Linked DNA regions of Oryzias latipes. The protein of the gene in region 1 interacts with the protein of each later gene in a pairwise test. Links are inferred from orthologs where the notes say so. Each region holds a gene or a part of one and is shown on either strand. Other genes may lie near its edges.

Evidence for each region. The genes of interacting proteins can lie anywhere in the genome.
Region 2: the proteins of fhl3 (region 1) and fosl2 interact in binary tests that used the Homo sapiens proteins (3 or more experiments, as listed by UniProt). The two-hybrid records come from large-scale screens. The link is inferred for Oryzias latipes from reciprocal best matches to the Homo sapiens genes FHL3 and FOSL2.
Region 3: the proteins of fhl3 (region 1) and gcm2 interact in binary tests that used the Homo sapiens proteins (3 or more experiments, as listed by UniProt). The link is inferred for Oryzias latipes from reciprocal best matches to the Homo sapiens genes FHL3 and GCM2.
Region 4: the proteins of fhl3 (region 1) and znf512b interact in binary tests that used the Homo sapiens proteins (3 or more experiments, as listed by UniProt). The two-hybrid records come from large-scale screens. The link is inferred for Oryzias latipes from reciprocal best matches to the Homo sapiens genes FHL3 and ZNF512B.

The regions. Positions count from the first base shown.
Region 1 is NC_019874.2:23,737,035-23,741,828, reverse strand, and holds the start of fhl3 (four and a half LIM domains protein 3), read left to right. Parts: upstream 1-1,750; 5' UTR 1,751-2,038; intron 2,039-4,794. UniProt on the Homo sapiens protein: Recruited by SOX15 to FOXK1 promoters where it acts as a transcriptional coactivator of FOXK1.
Region 2 is NC_019880.2:25,929,416-25,933,754, forward strand, and holds the end of fosl2 (fos-related antigen 2), read right to left. Parts: intron 4,319-4,339; coding exon 4,064-4,318; intron 3,946-4,063; coding exon 3,838-3,945; intron 3,095-3,837; coding exon 2,555-3,094; 3' UTR 713-2,554; downstream 1-712.
Region 3 is NC_019878.2:1,852,409-1,856,661, forward strand, and holds part of gcm2 (chorion-specific transcription factor GCMb), read right to left. Parts: intron 2,383-4,253; coding exon 2,319-2,382; intron 1,985-2,318; coding exon 1,796-1,984; intron 1,727-1,795; coding exon 1,614-1,726; intron 1-1,613. UniProt on the Homo sapiens protein: Transcription factor that binds specific sequences on gene promoters and activate their transcription. Through the regulation of gene transcription, may play a role in parathyroid gland development.
Region 4 is NC_019865.2:15,572,773-15,577,025, reverse strand, and holds part of znf512b (zinc finger protein 512B), read right to left. Parts: coding exon 4,236-4,253; intron 3,864-4,235; coding exon 3,765-3,863; intron 2,263-3,764; coding exon 1,927-2,262; 3' UTR 1-1,926. UniProt on the Homo sapiens protein: Involved in transcriptional regulation by repressing gene expression. Associates with the nucleosome remodeling and histone deacetylase (NuRD) complex, which promotes transcriptional repression by histone deacetylation and nucleosome remodeling.

The DNA of each region.
Region 1 (4,794 bases):
TTTTTTTTTTTTTATTCAAATGGGAAGTTTCTCTTTTGCAATTTTGGAACAACTGTTCAAAAAAGTAGGTGTGGTCAACACACAGTGTATCAAATGTTCCCCTTTTCCTTAACATTTATTTTCTTCAATATGTTCCTTACTTTTTAAATACTCCTTAAAAATACTATTATCGTCAGAAGGCCCTATGAGGACTTTGCAGAAGTTCTTGCTTGAGCTTCCTGTAGAGGATATAGTGTTGAAGCTATGGCATAGAGTGGACAAGGTCGCATGTTTGGCTCCTGCTCTGAATGCCCATATGTCATGACAAATGGTCTGGCTAGAATGCATGGTAGCTCTGACACCATCTGTGTGCATGGGTGAATGGGATTTGCCATTGTAAAGTGCTATGGGACATAACGAATATATCTATTTATGCTATTTACTTCTCCTGCGGCAAGCAAAATGTAAAGGTAAAATTAAAAAGCTGGTGGGCAATGCTTGTGAATTTCAGTCTCTTTTTGTTTAGTTTGTTCTTGCATCAGTCCTCTAATTCATAATCTCTGTTTTTTGATTGAAGACCTAAAAATTGTTATAAAAAAAGAGCTAGATTAACTTGATGTTAGTAAAGATTTAGATAAATAATTTCTATAAATAACGTAGTACATATGTCAATAATGTAGAACTAAAGGGGTTGTGTATTAATGCAACAACTACTGAACCAAATAGATTGTAATTGATTTGTGATTAAATACGAATCAATTAAATGTTGCTTTATTTCATCAATTTATTTCCAAAACCAGTTTTGATTAAGAAAACATGTCTTTTAAAACAAACAAAAGTGGTAGCCCACTTTTATTTAAAAAAGGAGTCTTACATCAACAGTAAAGAGAAAGCGTTTTTTGTCTTTTTTGTCTTAAAAAAGAGAGAAAATATCTTAAAAGGAAAGGCAATGCATGAGTTTGAATAGTTAATTCCATTTTCTTTGTAAAATGTCATTAAATTCTATTAAAAAAATCTAAATTAATAATGATTCGTGTTTTTAATGATTAACACTGAAGTAAAGAGCATTCACTTTGTCAGAGCATAGGTCAGCTTAATCCTGAATAAGTCGACTTATTCGTTTGTCTTAACACAAATGAATCATTTGAACTTAAAACACTGTAAAAAAAAGAGGAATGTAATTTAACAATTAGATCAATCTTTAACCCTTCGTGGTCATTTTTGGAAGGATTGTTTATGTCCCTCCCTTTCAAAACAACAACCATAATAATAATACATATAATCCTGTGATGTAATTTCATTGATGGTTTTGCTATTTTTAAAGAAATCCTTCAGAAGCCTCCAGCACCTGTGGTCCACACACTCAAACATCTCATGACATGCAGGCTTCACATATTCTGCTCTAAACTCAAAACAAACAAAATTCTATTATAACCCACTGCAATGCAATGTTGAAGAGACAAAAGAGCCTTGCAAGAATCTCCCCTCTTGCCTGCATGGGCCTTTTCCACTCTTGTTTGAAGTCGCTGGAAAGAGGGAGGGAGGAATGCCTTTTTTGGGGGGGCGGGATCTTGTGACTCACCAGCAACTTCCTCAGTAGTAGGACAAAAGTAGCCGGCAAGCTGCACCCCTCTGTGCTGCAGAGTTTTCATGCTTTGCTTCCACTTTCGGCTTCTCCCATCAGGGGTCGCCACAGCGAACAAGTCGCATGGTAAATTTGGCAATGTTTTACGCCGGATGCCCTTCCTGACGCAACCTTCTCAAACCGGGCTTGGAACCGGCAGAGGTAGAGAAGGGAACAGGGAGCAGACCGGAGTCGAACCCGGGTTTCACGAATGGAAGGCGCCGCAAACCAGCACGAGCTAATGACAAGCAGATAAAACAGAACGTTTCAGAGCCGGAGAGCGACACTCCTGAGCTTTTTCTGTGAGCTGATCCCTGTGCTGACCTGAGCGGCCGTGTGCTGACCTGAGCGGCCGTGTGCTGACGGGAGGAAGGCGGCTGGATCACCACCACAGCAGCTTGGAAAGGTGCCTCCACACTTCAATCAGTCTGACTGGTAAGAAGAGACATTTTGGCTCCATCATTTTCATTGAGTAACCTGTTGATCCTAAATCAAACACAGGTGTGTATGAATATATAAGATAATCTGGGTTCTTTCAAGTCCATTACTTAGTCCTTTATGACTGAATGAAAGTATAGTTGGGGGGGAAAGGGTTTTGAGAGTAGGCTCAACCAAATATCTACAATTCCTGAAGTAGAAGTATCTGGTTGCGTGTTTAGACATTGTCTAAATTTGCTGTTGCTGTCTTTAACTTTTTCCCTTCCCTCTCATTCAGTAATTCAGTTGTGTCCCTCTGTACACTCGTAGAGTGTACAAGGCGGAGGAAATATAAATAACATCCTTCCGATGAAGAAACAGACCATATTAGCTTGTGTGACCCTCTGAACTGTGCATATGAAGGATTCAGGAGCAACTGTTTTGTCAGAGAAGTTCAAGCTGAGCTCCAAGTGAAGCCTTCACAGGACTAAGTCCCACAGGCGAAACTTGCCTCTTTTTTTCTGCAAAAGGGGAAAGTGGCAAATAGCAGTAAGAGTGTGCAATGGGTGTGTCTATGCTGTAGCGTCTGGAGTCGTGCAGCACCTCATGGTACGTGTCATTGTGATGACAGTTTGGCTCACCTGCTGGGTCATGTGGGTGCAGTGGGAGGGTGAGGTGGTCAGCCTTGACTGTAAAAAGTTTAACAGTCTGTATAACAGATAGAGGAAGAGATTGTTTTAAATCGATGCCTTTGGTTCACAAAAAGCTCTTCCTTAAGCTCTGATTGAATATAGTCTGCTGAAACAGGCAGCAAAGAAAGAACTGGGGGTTGTTCTGACATCGGTTGCAAGAGAATCCCAGAATTTTTGGGAGATTAAAAGGTCTTTCACAAACAACTTAATCTTGATTTCCAGACAGAGAAAAATTGCATTGATTCTTCATGATCTTGACCCAACTAACAAACTGCAGCATGAATAAAAAGAAATAATGTCAATGTCCTCCTCTTAAACATAAGCAATCCTTTTTCTGCAGTATAGAACATACATTTTAATCTGCTGGTTTGTCTCCAGCGTGGTAGACAAAAAGAAAATCTCCTGATCCAACTGTGAGTAGATGCAAGAGAAGATACAGCTGCAGCCTGGACATAGAAGTCAACATGGTGCTGTAGTATGCCTCTTCTAAAAGTTTTTGGTCTGAGGAGTGCTGGGGTGCTCTTGCCACCTACAGGTTTTTTTCTTACATGGTCAGTAAGGATAACCAGCAGAGGAAACACCCTTTAACTACATGTCTCTTATTCGGTTCCATTTAGCATCTGGGAAGTTTGCCTTGACAGAGCATACAGAGCTGCATAATGTCATTGTTTGCTTTTTTCCTCCCACCGCCTCCATTTCTTTGACCATGGTCACATTCTTCAGAGGTCCCAGTGTTTTCCAAAGGTTAGCTCTGCGTGGTTTTTGGACTCTGGCCAGTTCCAAAACTGCAGCAGGACTGCAACCAAATAATTTGAACTGGTTTTAGCAGCCTTTATGTGTTGGCACCATTTGAAACCTGGCCAATGGTAATGATGGAGGAGTTGGCGGTCAAGTGTTTGCAGGTGGTTTTTGAGAGCAGAATTGGAATTTGCGTTGATGTAGTCCTCTTGTGACATTGTGCAGCTGTGTGTTCCTCCATTGGCACAATTTGTGCTCGTGTAATTGCTCAGTGCCTTAAAATCCCACGTGTGGGTGTCTGATCAACAGTCCTACATCACAGAGTTTCGTTTGTCTTCAACTTCTACATAGTTTTACTCTCCACCTTCACTCAAAATGTGAAGTACAACCCAATAATCAGGTGCCTGTTTGAAAAGCTTACTTATTGAGGTCTCAGTAATAATTAGTTATAATTTTGGTGGCACTGTCTATTATCAGTACCTGCTTATCCTTGTGGAGTGTCAAAAGTTCAGGGCAAAGGCGGGATGCGGCCCGATAATTCCATCACAAGGCTTTGGTGAAGTTAAATAAGTCCGTAATGTATTAGGTTTTGGTTCTAATCTTTTTGGGGTTTTTTCTGTAAAAAAATGATTAAAGGTGCTATAACATATAAAGCTTTGAAAATCACAATAAAGATATTTTGGAATTTAAAAAAAAAAGGTGCTATGACAATAAAACCATAATGCAGTGCCCTGGATTGAACCTCCTCAAACAGCTATGAGAACAATAATATTGGTTTTGTCATTTTGTGTGTATATATATATATATATATACATATATATATATATATATATATATATGTGTGTGTATGAAAGTGTAGCACTGGAACTTCAGCATGTTTAAATTGGTTGTTATGGTAGTCAGTTCCCTCCTTGGTAGGATGTGGGGGCGCGTGGCTGGCTGTTGTAGTGTGTCTGCATTCCCTTAAAAAGGGGGGAAGTGACCTCAGATTTCCTGTGAGGGGATTGCCAGGTGCTGTAGTGTTATTGTGAGGGTCGCAAGGCTTCCTCCGTGGATGCTTTGTTGGTAAATGTCTGAAACTCTATCCCCTGAGCCAGGGCCCCAGTGGGAAGTAAAATGTCTCCTCACAATCCAGGCATCTCCTCTCACTAACTTCTTTTTAGTCTTTCCTTTCTTGCATCGCCCAGTCCATTCCAGGACTTTCTTTTAAAGAGCACATAAAATTTATATTGTCAAATAAAGAGTGTGAAGTGTAAGTGACTCTGCTTAGGGGGTAATTAGGCTTCTTTAAGCATACAATTACATGTCTGTGCTTTACTCTTACCTCAAAAGGAAAGACAGTTT
Region 2 (4,339 bases), on another chromosome or scaffold:
GCTGTAGACACAAAAGGGAACTGTCCTCTCGTTCCTTTACAAATCCATCCATCCATCTTCAGAACCCACTGAACCGCTTTGGGGTCACAGGGCTGCTGGGTCCACCCTGAACAGGTCACTAGTCTGTTGCAGGACCACGCACACCTGCACACCGAGGGGCAATTTACACTCAACAATGAACCCATGAAGCATGTTTTTGAACTATAGGAGGAAGCTGCATTGCCCAGAGAAAACCCACACGTGCACGCTGAGAGCAAGCAAACTCCACACAAAAAAAGGACCTACCTGGGATTTGAACCAGGACATCTTCACTGTGATGCAGAAGTGCTGACCACTACACCATTCTGCTGCCCTACCTTAGGCATTTACGCAGCTGAACCATCACATAGCAAAGCCTCCTGTCCATGAAAAAACTCCTCGTGTTAAAAACACTATAATGGACGACCTTCTAGCTGTCATTGATTCCCATCATCGACTCAGAAAGGCCTTTGATTGTCATTTTTTACAAATATTTTTACTTTTATTTGTGATTCTCTCCTGTGCAGCCTTTGAATTTATGCATTTACTACCTAAACCTATTTTCTATGATTCATCTAAATCAAAGTCAAGACAGCCGTTGAATATTTCTCTGAGTAAATCATCCAGATGAACTAGGAGGACGTGATTCCACCCGATGCCAGAACCACAAACCAACAAATAAGAAAAGAAACAATTCCAAGTTGAAAATTATTTTATTATCATTTATCTTTTAAATTAACAAACACTGCTTTACATATTGCTGTTTTTACTCATTTTGAATTATTTGAAACAGTTAAAGCATTTGAAAAAAAAAAATTAACAGTAGAACAGACAACAGGTGACATGTAGAGCAGAAGATCTACAGTCCATGGCTTTCCTATGTGTGTTGAAGGGCTCCATAGAATTCCAGCATGCAGACAGAGTGCTGCGTTGGGGCCGTCCTGCAGGCTGGGGGGCCCCGATAACAGCTAGTCACATTACACCCCAATAGAAACACCCAGCATGTGTGTGTCTGTGTTTCTCCCAAACAAGTAGCAGCTTGTGTTGAATTGCAAAAGAAATGCAGTTTCTGCATCCAGCGCAACTTTCTTCCCCGCTGATCACAGAAAGGGTTCAAGCAAACCTGACGGTAGATTCATTGAAATGTCTCAAGTAAACAAAAGGACAAGATTCAAATTTCACCGGTCTGCCCTTCGTAGTGCGTGGCGTTTAAACCTCTTTGAAAAGGTTGTTGGCTTCCACTCCTTGATGCAGTTTATGGTCTTCATCCTCTCTTGTGTTGGGTTCTGATCCAGCTGAGCTTTGTGTCGATGGCTGGACCCCCAAATCAGAACATCTAAAGGAGATTTTCCCACTCTTTTCTAAAAAAAAACAGACTGAAATACAAACACTGCAGAAGAGGGTTGACATCATTGGCGAGTGGCGACAGTCTGGACCACAGAGGCTTCTCCTGATTTGAGCAAAATCCTCCTTTTAGACACAGACACACAAATCACAGGATTTACAAGAATCTTATTTTTGGCTTCTTGAGACCTGCCTGGCCCCCAAGATGGAGCGCTGAACCAGAGTGAGATGTTTGGAAAACAAAGATGTTTTGCGCAGAAGGAAGGTTTTGTTCAAACGTACAGAACTGTCCGAGGTGGCGGCGGCGGCTGCTGCTGCTCGCCGCACCGCCTCTGGAACAGCCAGAAACTCTGCCGCGCTCTTCAAGACACACCAAACACCGTCCCTGACATCAATGTAAATCACGTACACTTTGTCAAAAAACAGGTCGTAAAGTTCAGATACAGAATCGCTGAGGAAAAGCACACAATACTACTGGAAAGTCAAGCCACTAAGGCGGAACAGGAAGTGCTGAAGGGTTTCTTTCCCCAACACTGAGGAGGGCTCGGCTCAAACTGCTTTTCTACAGGCGGATTGAAGAAGAGAACAACAAAACAGTTTTGAAACTCCATTAGCACAGGCCATAAATACACTGAAAGTCATGGAGAAAACAGCAGAAAAGTCTACACACTCTCAGAGCCTATAGTCTCAATATCGACAGGAAAAGACAAATCTCAATGAAAAAACAGCCAAGACGACGTCTTTGTTTCTCCATAAAACTCCAGCAAAAATGCCGGCCTCGCTTAGTGATTTATTCATTTATTCGTTTTGGCAGAGTGCAAGTGTCAACAACATGGCTTTTAGGATAAAGTCAATAAAAATCTAGGAAAGAGTTGTTCTGTGGTCCCGTCAGTCATGATTGCCGCGTACGTTCAGGCAGGTTTCTTCAGAATCGTCTGTAAACATGATGACCCCTGGAGTTGAAATGGTGACAGGATGATGCTTTAGGGTTGTTGCACACCTTGGGTGGGGGGGTTGTGGCGTGGTACTTATTGCCCCCCCCCTCCTTCAAACCCGGAGGGGAGACGGCTCACGCAGTCGACTTGGTCCAGACTTTTGAATGTGCTTCAAAAACACAGGAGGGGGGTAAAGGGGCAGTTGACCCTGGGGTTTGACCACAGTGTTACTTCCTGGCGTCGGCTGCCTCCTCCACTCAGAGGGCCAGGAGGGTGGGGGAGTTGAGGGAGTCGGAGGACTGATCCCCGCCGCTGCTGCTGCTCCGCCGGTGGGCCTTGGAGCAGGACTCGGAGGAGGGTGAGGGGCTCTCCGGCTCCAACATGTTGGGGTAGGTAAATATGAGGTTGGGGGCATTAGGTGTCGTGGCTGGGGTGGAGGCCACCACCACAGGCGTGTTCAGGCTGTCTCCGTCTGGACAGTACAAGCCGCCGCCACTGATGCAGATGGGCTTGATGACGGAGCGCTGCGGTTTGTTCAAACCTTCGTCTGCGTCGTCCGGCTCCTGCTTCACCACCACTTGGCTCATCTGAGCCCTGGAGCCCACGCCGGGGCGCATGGACAGCGGGAGCAGGTTGCACTGCTGCTGCTGCGCCGAGGGCTGGTGGCGCTCGGAGAGGGGCAGCTTGCACACAGGGTTGTGAGCGACGAGCATGAACTCCAGCTTGTCTTTCTCCTTCTGCAGGTTCTCGATCTCCTTCTGCAGGTCGGCCTTCTCCTCCTCCAGCTTCTCAGTCTCCTGAGGAAAGAGGAAACAGAAGTTGAGCTTTGAACGCTGTCAGCGGTGTTGACGTTTCTCTAAAGCCCCAGAAGAGGGCAGTGTTTACCTCTTCATGCAAAATCAACAAACCCAAACAAGGCTTCTAAACATTATCAAAGACATAAAATCTCAAGCATGATTTGAGCATTCAGCCATGGCTGTGATTGTGATTCATGTCTTAGAATAAAACAGATGTAGATAAAGGAGGCAGACCCTAAAAGTGCTGCTTTCATGCTCTCAGAGAACTTTGGCTGGTGTGCAAAGGTATGAGGAAGTTGTTAACAAGGAACTGAAGAAAGGTGGGGTGAAGCGAAGCTCTTCAGTGCTTTAAGGCAACACACACTGCAAACATTTAGACCGTTTTTCACTCTGAGTGAAAAAGGAACTTTAAGTTTCTGTGGAAGTGTTGCACGGGCTGCGGGGTCGAGCCGGTCGCCTCTTTACAGAACGTCCTGCCTTCCCGAGCCGGGTCTAAATTCCACACAGGGCTCATTTTTATGGTCTGTTAAGCTCCACCTCACTGGGATTTTACTCCATTTAGATGTTGTAGCTGTCTGTGAGGCATGAGCAGCGGGACGCTTCTCCTTCTGTCTGCAGCAGAAACGGCTTTTCATCTGTCAGTGATGCTAACAGGAGGCTCGTACAGGAGTTTAGTTTTTTCTTTAGAAGGAAGGCAAGAACCATAGATGGGCGCTAGAGCCAAAGGCGAATGTGGGACTCACCCCTTGCAGCATCTCGGTGAGCTCTCGCCTGCGATTGCGGCACTTAGCTGCGGCCAGTTTGTTCCTCTCGCGCCTTACCCTCCTCTTCTCCTCCTCCTCTGGGGTGAGCTGTAGCCAGGTTAAGAAAAAAACAGATGGATTTAGTTCACTGTAAAATTCCTCCTTTAAACTTGCTTCACATGTTACATTTCTCATCATCCCGTGCTGTTCTAACTCAATCACCCACCTGCTCGTCTCGCTTGCGTCGGCCTCTGGCGTCGCCGATGGAGCGTATGACTCCGGGTCGAGCCAGCGTGTTGTGACCCAGCAGCCCTGGTCCGTTGGTCAGATGATGGCCATACGGGTGGGAACGAGAGTAAGGGTTGGACATGGAGGTGATGACCGTGGGCTGCACCATCCACTGCAGGTCCTGGCTTGTTGTGATTGCATTGATTGTGGGGATGAAGGCACTATTGGAACCTGGCATGTCAGCCCTGTACTTCTACAGGAACAGAGGAGAGGA
Region 3 (4,253 bases), on another chromosome or scaffold:
CCCGGTCTGCGCCATAGAGGAGTTAACGCCTGAACCCTGCGACCCCTTTGCCGGGAAATCTGGGGATCATCTGAGGATCAACTCCTGTTGAACGCACGCTCCATCACTAACGAAGCTTTTCATCTGAATGACTCTTTCACATCGGAGCACTTGGACTTCCTTTGCCTGACAGAGACATGGCAGCGGAAGATGGAGCGCATCCATCTCAACAATCTGTGGGACGGGGCAGTCTGGGGGGGACTGGCCGCCATCTACCAGGACATTTGGTAGTCTTCTAGCCTCCGGCTGGAAGCTGAGCTCAGATTCTTTCAGCTCATTTGAACTGCAGATCACTAAGGTTGGATCTGACTCCCCGTTTTATTGCATTTTAATTTACCGACCTCCTGGCCCTGCACGGGTATTTTTAGACGAGTTTGCTGAGTTTTAATCAGGTATTATCAATTTGAACCCTGTACTCTCACTGGGTGATTTTAATATTCACATTCATGACTCTTCCTGTGTCTCTGCTTCAGAATTGTTATTTATAACTAAATATTTGAATTTTGCACACTCTGGACATAGTCTTTTCCCTAAGTCTACATATTAAGCAGCTTAGAGTTAAAGACAGTCACATCGGTGATCACTGCTGAATTTTCTTTAGCCTTGTGCTATCCTAGGCACTTTACCATTGGGAGTTGGGTCATCTAGACCCACTAGACAGTGCTCTGAACCTTTTTTCTTCAATGATTTGTGATCTTTACTGGTGTCCATGGATTACATGAAATCTTTCCACCTTTATCCACCTTTGTCATGGTAGGGAGAACACATCAAAGTAAGGGTGGGGTCATCTAAGATAGCACAAGGGTTAGTGTGATTTCCCCCCACCCGCCTTCACCCACACCTGTTAGAATGCAGAGACGAATTTTACGTCAGAATGAGTCGGATAGATTCACAGATCTGTTTGATACAAATTCTTTTAACCCTTTTGACAGTGTAGACTCTTTTTTGCACTCTTTTAACAGTCACTGTGAAACCATTATAAACACAATTGCTGCTGTCAGAGAGAGCGTCACTTCTAATAAGTCATTTCCTTGGATAACTGCTGACATTCGTTCCTTCAGAAGACTTTGTCGTAAAGTAGAACGTCTATGGAAAACAATAAAACTGGAAGTGCACAGGCTGCATCTTAAAGAGCCACCCTCCACCCTAAATGATATGATAAAGCAAGCTAGGTCAACATTTTTTCACAAACTTATTTCAATGAACAAAAGAAACCCAAAAGCAATTTTTAACACCATAAACACACTCACATCACCCTCTTCCTCTCAACACTTTAATCTTTTCCAGTCTGATTGTAACACTTTTTTTCAGGCCTTTTTGGCTCGGATATCGGATATGTCGACAAAAACAACCTGGTCCCTGCAGTCTGTGACGGCTGCAGGCCATAATTTTGAATCAAAATGATCGATTGGAATCTGATCTAAAGAAAGTTCTCTTTATTAATGATTTTTCATAAAATAACATTTGTATTAGTTTTTTGCTAAATACATCATTTAAAGATCTCTGGACCCGATTTCTCTTTCAGCACATACGTTTCCGTTCAGCTGAGTGACAAAGTACTGAACCGGTTCTACCTGGAAGAAGATGGATTTTCCGTCCACTCTCCAGAAGTTGGTGACAGGATAGCCGCTGTGACCTCGACACGGCAGCAGCTCCAGACCAGCGCTGCAGCTCGGGCAGAGCTTTTCTGGAACGTACATCGTTATGAGTTTGGTCTAGCAGGGACTACGGACACATGGTCTCACTCAGTCCTTACTTTGCTGTTTCTGCCGAGCTTTGTCACATATGGCGGGTCGGAGCTGCAGTCTGGATCCGTCTGGCAGCGAGCACCCCCGAGAACAGACCACCACACCCAGACAGGACTTCTTCAGGATCTGACAGTTGTGGTTGTTGGTGTTCCTCATGGCCCAGCCCGACAAATGTCGCTGAGCGTTTTTATCTTCAGCTGCAAAACAAAGAGACTCGCAAGTTCAAACCTCCCAAGTGTTCAGCCGCTCCTCAAAGACTGCTGTATGATCTGAGGTCCAAGAAAAAGGTTCAACCTTTCACCTGCTTTTTGTTGCCACTGTTGCAGTTTCCCATGGATTCAGTTAGTAAAAGTCAAAACAATAAAACGTTGGCCTAAAAACTGTATTTATTAGGATTTGTGCCAACAAGAAAAGATGCTTGACTGCACAGACACATCTGCTCATTAACCTAAAGGTTCAACTGTCCAATCAGAACACTTATTCACAGCTGAGGAGGCATTTCATCTGTACGGTAAACTCAAAATGTCTCACCGCTGTAGATGTAGCGAACGTAACCATCTGTCCACTCCTGGAAGGGGTCGAACTGCTTCAGGTCCTGCACACAGACAGAGACAGCGAGACAGTCAGACAAGTGCAGACAGACAGAAGGAGACACAGACAGACAGACAGACGGGTCAAAGTTGGAGGAGTCTTCTGGTTGACTCTTGTTACACTAAACATCTAAAGAGGACAGAATGAATGCTTGCCTGCAGTGAAGAATCCAAAAGAATCAAACAGATTACAGAACAATCAGTCTATCTGGCAGTAAAGGCCGTCTCTATAGGTCTCTGTGCTCAGCCTGCATGACATGCTTGGACAGTGTCCAGTTTTTTAACTGGACATTGCAAATATTTTACGTGTTGTAATTAGAACCTGATCAGCAGCTCTTATGTTTCAAAAAGAAGGTGCAGTTGGGCGGTTTATAGGACGGGGTAGATATTGATCAGTGTCAGGGCGGCCTGAAGATCAGCTGACAAAGTCTCTTTCACTGTTTTGGTTTGAGTGAAAACACAAATATGAAAACCAGTTTTGGTGTTTGAGCAACAACATCAGCGCATGCTATGTCAGCAGGCTCTTCACAACCTCTACTTAACCTTCAACTGACAATGAAATGGTTCAGCAAGACTTAGAGCTGAGTCAGCAGCTCCAAAGACCTTCAGCTAACCTTCCAATAGTTTGTGCTTCTGGAAGGTCTGGAATATTTGAATGATACTAACCCTTCCAGGTCAAGGATCACTCAGAAAACCTGAAAAGTTCAGATGTTTAGACCCTTGACTAGGCAAATAAAGCAGTTATGTCGTCCTTCTCACTTCTTTTCCAGCTTCCCAAAATTCTGCCATCTGCTCAAAACCACATCACTGTTAAATATGCCCACTAAATCACTAAAAACACAAGACTTAAATAAATATTGCATAATATATAATTTGATAAAGAAAATCAAGACAGTTTTTATGAGCTTTAGTATTTCCTTAACAGATATTTTGCTTGGATCCACCAATCAGAATCAGAGCAGCACCACAAAGTCTAACATCTCCGCTCTGTCTCATTCAAACTCAATAACACAGAAAAATCCTATTTGCTTTTGTGTTCATTCCTCTTGGTTCCTATTCTCAGTTTTTAAAAAAAATTATATTATTATTTGCTTTATTGTTAAACACAGATAAAATCACAGCAATGTGTGAAATTATTATTCATGTAGGTGTTGTTGATGACAGCCTAAACCAGGGGTCGGCAACCCAAAATGTTGAAAGAGCCAAATTGAACGAAAAAAACAAAAAACAAACATTTCTGTAGCCGCAAAATATTAAAAGCCCTATTTAAGCCTTATAATGAAGGCAACACATGCAATATGTATATATAATAGCTATATTAGCCTTCTATCAAAATGAAGTTGCTACAAATACATAGTGAGCATTAACAACTAAATGTTTATTTGCCCTGCATTGCATTCTGCAGAGAACGACAGGTCAAGTGACTGCTCTGTTGTGCAAATTTAACTTCATTACAATATCAATGAATTATGTTTCATTAATTTGATAAAATTAAAGAAATGTCATAAAGAAATCTGATTTTTTATGTCATTTTTATTTTGAGGATTCGAACAAAAAACAACAAAACGGAACGTGCGTGACGTGCCCCTCTCTGGGAACTAAACAGAGTGCAATAAAACGCAGCCTGCATTTATAAAAAAGAAAACAACAGCCCTTTGAAAAGGTAAAGTATATAAAATCAAATTAATAAAGTTAAGGCACACCTGCGCAATAATCATGCTGTCTAATCAGCATCTTGATATGGCACACCTGTGAGGTGGAATGGATTGTCTTGGCAAAGGAGAAGTGCTCACTATCACAGATTTAGACAGATTTGTGAACAATATTTCAGAGAACTGGTTATTTTGGGTATGTGGAATATGTTTCACATCTTTGA
Region 4 (4,253 bases), on another chromosome or scaffold:
ATCCCTAAACAAGTGCACAGCCATTCCCGACTGGATGAACTCCATCCTCATATTAGGAAGAAAAAAAAATCATACTGGATCTCTGGTTTATGTTTTAAAAGTTTACAGCTTAGGAAGGACTCAAAATTACTTTTAAAACAAAATGTTTCTTCACTGTCTTCTGACTATCAGCTCCTTGTGGTTTTAGGAACACCTAAACAGTTCAGTTCTTCACTGTTTTCATGATGACATGACGTTTTGGTGCAAAATTCAGACAACTTGCAAACACGAAGAACATGGCAAAATGGATTGGTGGATGTGCGTGAGTTGTTTCAGGTCTTTAAGGTAGAAAGGCTAGTAAAGCACCTTTATATTTTCACCAGAATATCCCCACACCACAGTTTTTTTTATTTAAAGAGTCCAGATTTAAGTCTTATACTTAGTATTTTTGAATTGATACAAACAATAATATATTAAATTCTTATGGAATTTCTATTATAATTTCAACTACAAAATGAAGTAGTTTACCATTACCAAGTGAAAATATTCCACGTCATAAAATGTATTTAACTTTTTTCAATTTTTTTAAAGCAAATCTGAGGCTAATCTAACAGTTAGTGGCAGCACACTAACAACCAGTTATGGCTTTCTGATGTTGTAAATGTTACTGTCATCCTGGACTCAAAGTGTTAACTGTGCTGATTTTTTTTCCCCTAACTCCAGCTTTCATTGGAGTTAAAAAATATTCCCATTCCTGCACTTCAGTTGTATATTCTTGGAGTGCAAAAAGGCAAGCATGAAAGCTCGAGTGTTAAAGTGCAAGGCAATAACTTTGAGCTTCCAGGAACTCATGCATATGCATTACTTTCTGTGAATTTTAATCAGAAGTTTTTTTTCTTTTTCTTTAATAAAGATGTATTTTTCTCAAATGCTCTATAAAAGATATATATATATTTTAAAATCCTCTCTTCAGCTTAGATGTAAGCTAAAGCAGTTGCCAAAGCTTGGCCCTATTTAAAGTGGTGTCACATGATGTGATTGTGCTGCAATAGTCTTAGATAAGTTTCACACAAAGTTCTTCCCTTTGTCTAATATTTACCTTTCCTGGGCCAAATATAGACGGAGATTCTGTTTAAAATATTGCATTAAGCATAACTTAAAAAATGTATATATTTAAGAGTTTTGAATCGTTTTTTGGGGGGGATTCAGTTTGTTAGTTTCAATAAAAAAGATCTGAGGAAACAATCTGTAAGGCAGACAATCTTATTCGTCCTGTCAAAGTAGTTTTAAAGAGTGAACCGTGATTTAAAACTGGCCAACATGTTAACCCAAATAGATAAGCAGGTTAAAAGAAGAAACAAGGAACAAAATGTCACTTACGCCCATAAAAAACTTTAGACTGCAAACTGAATCTGCTCAACTTGAAAATGAAAAATGAATATTTGCTTTAAATATACACAAAGATATATTTACTGTTTATGTACACAGACAAGTCTATCTGTGACAACACTAGCTTTCGATAAATGGCTTCTTCATGCTGATAAAATTTCTATTTTTAAAAACCTCTCAAGCACAACATGTATCTCACAGAGAAAACTTGTGTCTTCTTTAATATAGAGAACTATGATTGTTAAAAATAACAAAACAAAAAACTAGCATGTTTAAGTTCTGGATTTGATTTGCGATTACCCCCCCTGCTGGGAAAACAAAAATAAAAACTGAAAGCCTTAGAAAGGAGACAATAGTGGAATGGAGGAAAAAACCTTTGTGAATATTGTTCATACCAGTGCAAACACGAAATCCGGAGTCTTGAATTAGAATTTAAGGACTAACATTTGTTTCTTTCTTATTGGTGGGTTTGAGTTTCTTCTTAAGCCCAGAGTTTCTGTGGAGTTCGAGAGGTTTCCCGTCATTTGCAATGTTTGAAGCTCCTCGCTGGCTCCAGAACTACTCAAAAAAGGGCCTTTTAGGTTTGCTTCGTCTGGGGGCTGAGGGGACAGGCTGTCTGTTGTGGCATGGGTAGTCACCGTCCGTACAGTTGGGAACCAAGGCGGAGGACTGTGCTGGTCCAGAGGGAGGGGCCACAGTTAGGACAGTATTCTGAGTAAGTGCTTCGATATCTGTTTGTGGAGGAGCGTCCACACTGGGGCGCTCTTTAGGTTTGCGCCCTCTCTTCTTACCAGTGGTGGCACCGTTCCTCACTTCAGCTCTGATCCCATTATTTTCCTCCACTTTGCTCTTGTTACCAGACACCACATGGTTGGCTGCAGTACGAAACCAGTTCTTAGAGGGAAGAGAAAGAATTCAATGCACGATGAGATCATTAAAATATTATAAAAACGTGTTTGAACACTCTTAAAAGGAAGACATTAATCAGAATAATATATTGAAAATGATGATGATGTAAATCCTACAGAAAAAAGTCACTCTAAAGATAATACATTTAAACCAGAAGCTTGTGTGTTGCATTATAAGTTAGCATTTCAAAGAAAAACTTTGTATAAAGGAAAAATTGTAGAATATGCGTTATCAATTATATTTGATCATTTTTTTTCAAAAAACTTGATTTTCATTCTTTATGTTTGGGTTTTCACAAGATAACTAGTTTAGGAAATGATGAACTAGTAAAGTTTACACCTTTTTCACAGCACTGTTTAGTAAAAAGCCAGCTGACAGCAGTGGCTTCCTCACACTTTTAGGTCAGAGCGTTCAGCCAATAGTGACATTTTTTCCAATTTGATTCTAGAAGAGCTACAGAACACTTCAGTACTTCTATTAGTATCTCACTCTGTGCTATATTATTAATAAATTTACTATTTGTACTGCTTTATCAACATTGTTAATGATACAAAAACCCCAGAATAACGACTTACTATAACAAATTGCTCAGAAATGAAATTACCCGTAGTAAAAACATTCATTCATTCATTTATTTATTTATAAAGCACCTTCCACCGCCAGCCAAGGAGACCCAAAGTGCTGTACACATGGAGAACAAAGCATAAAAGAATTAACAGCAAATTAAACAAGCAAATTAAAAACATAGTAGAGACATAAATAGAAAAGAATATAAAGCATAAAACCAATTTAAAAGAGATTAAAACTAGGACTAGGCTGATGCTAAAGCGCTAAAATGGAGGAACAATTGCCTTGGAGAGTTTGGAACTATGGAATCATTCCATAGTTTAGGAGGCAACCCAGCAAATGCTCGGTTCCCCCAAAACTTGCATTTGGTTCTGGGAACCATTAACACAAACTGGTCGGTGGAACATAAGGACTTTAGGGGGGAATATTTTAAAAGCAGACTGGAGAGGTAAGATGGTGCCGTACCTGCCAGGGACTTAAAAGTAAGGAGCAACATTTTAACAAAAAGCAAGTATTGCAATGGCAGCGTTGTGGTGTTATGTGGTCTAACTTCTTTGACCCACAAATAAATAAATACATGAATGAATAAATGAAGAACATATGTTTTGTGCTTTTTTTTTATTCAATTACATAATCTGTTACTTCTTTTTTAAATAAACACTATAAAGTTAGACACAAACACAACTGAGTATGCTTTTTCCGATAGATGACATTAAGATGATCTCACTTAAGCTGTGTTTAAAGCATGTCCAACCAAACCCTTTCAATCACTTTCAATAAAAACAAAAGCAACCATTTCAATGCAGACGTGTTCACTCAGCAAAGGATGATGGAAAAATAGTTTGTGTAATGGAAGACATCGGTGCCTGTTTTATGGCTATGAGGTTTCCACTAATGGGGGGGGGGGGGGGGGGACCCACCTGTGAGTGTGTTTTACTTATGTGGTACTTGACACCACTCTCTGAGCTAAACTCCTTCTGACAGATCAGACAGGTGTACTTGCCCATCTCACCGGCACCCTGGAAAACACCAAAAGTATGGAGGTGTTCTGACATCTGCTCATATTCCTCTCAAATTCAATAAGGAAAATACACATGACTGAAAGATAGCTAAAAAAACATTTTTTAAAGAATTTTTCCTTTTTTATGTTTTTATCTATTAAAACTTGCAAAATAGAGATACATTAAAAATAGAGTTGCTATTTGTAGAGGCTTAAATATAATTGCTAAAATGACAGCAGCATACAAAATCCAAACCTAGAAAAAAACTTCAGGCTTAAAAATATACATGTCAGTGGCAAACTGTTTGTGCGCAGATTGTGAATGATACAAAGTGTCACCATGGAAATCTGTAAGCTGGCTGATAGATTTGCTGTAGTTGTGGGCGTGTACCTGGCTGCAGTTGGCAAG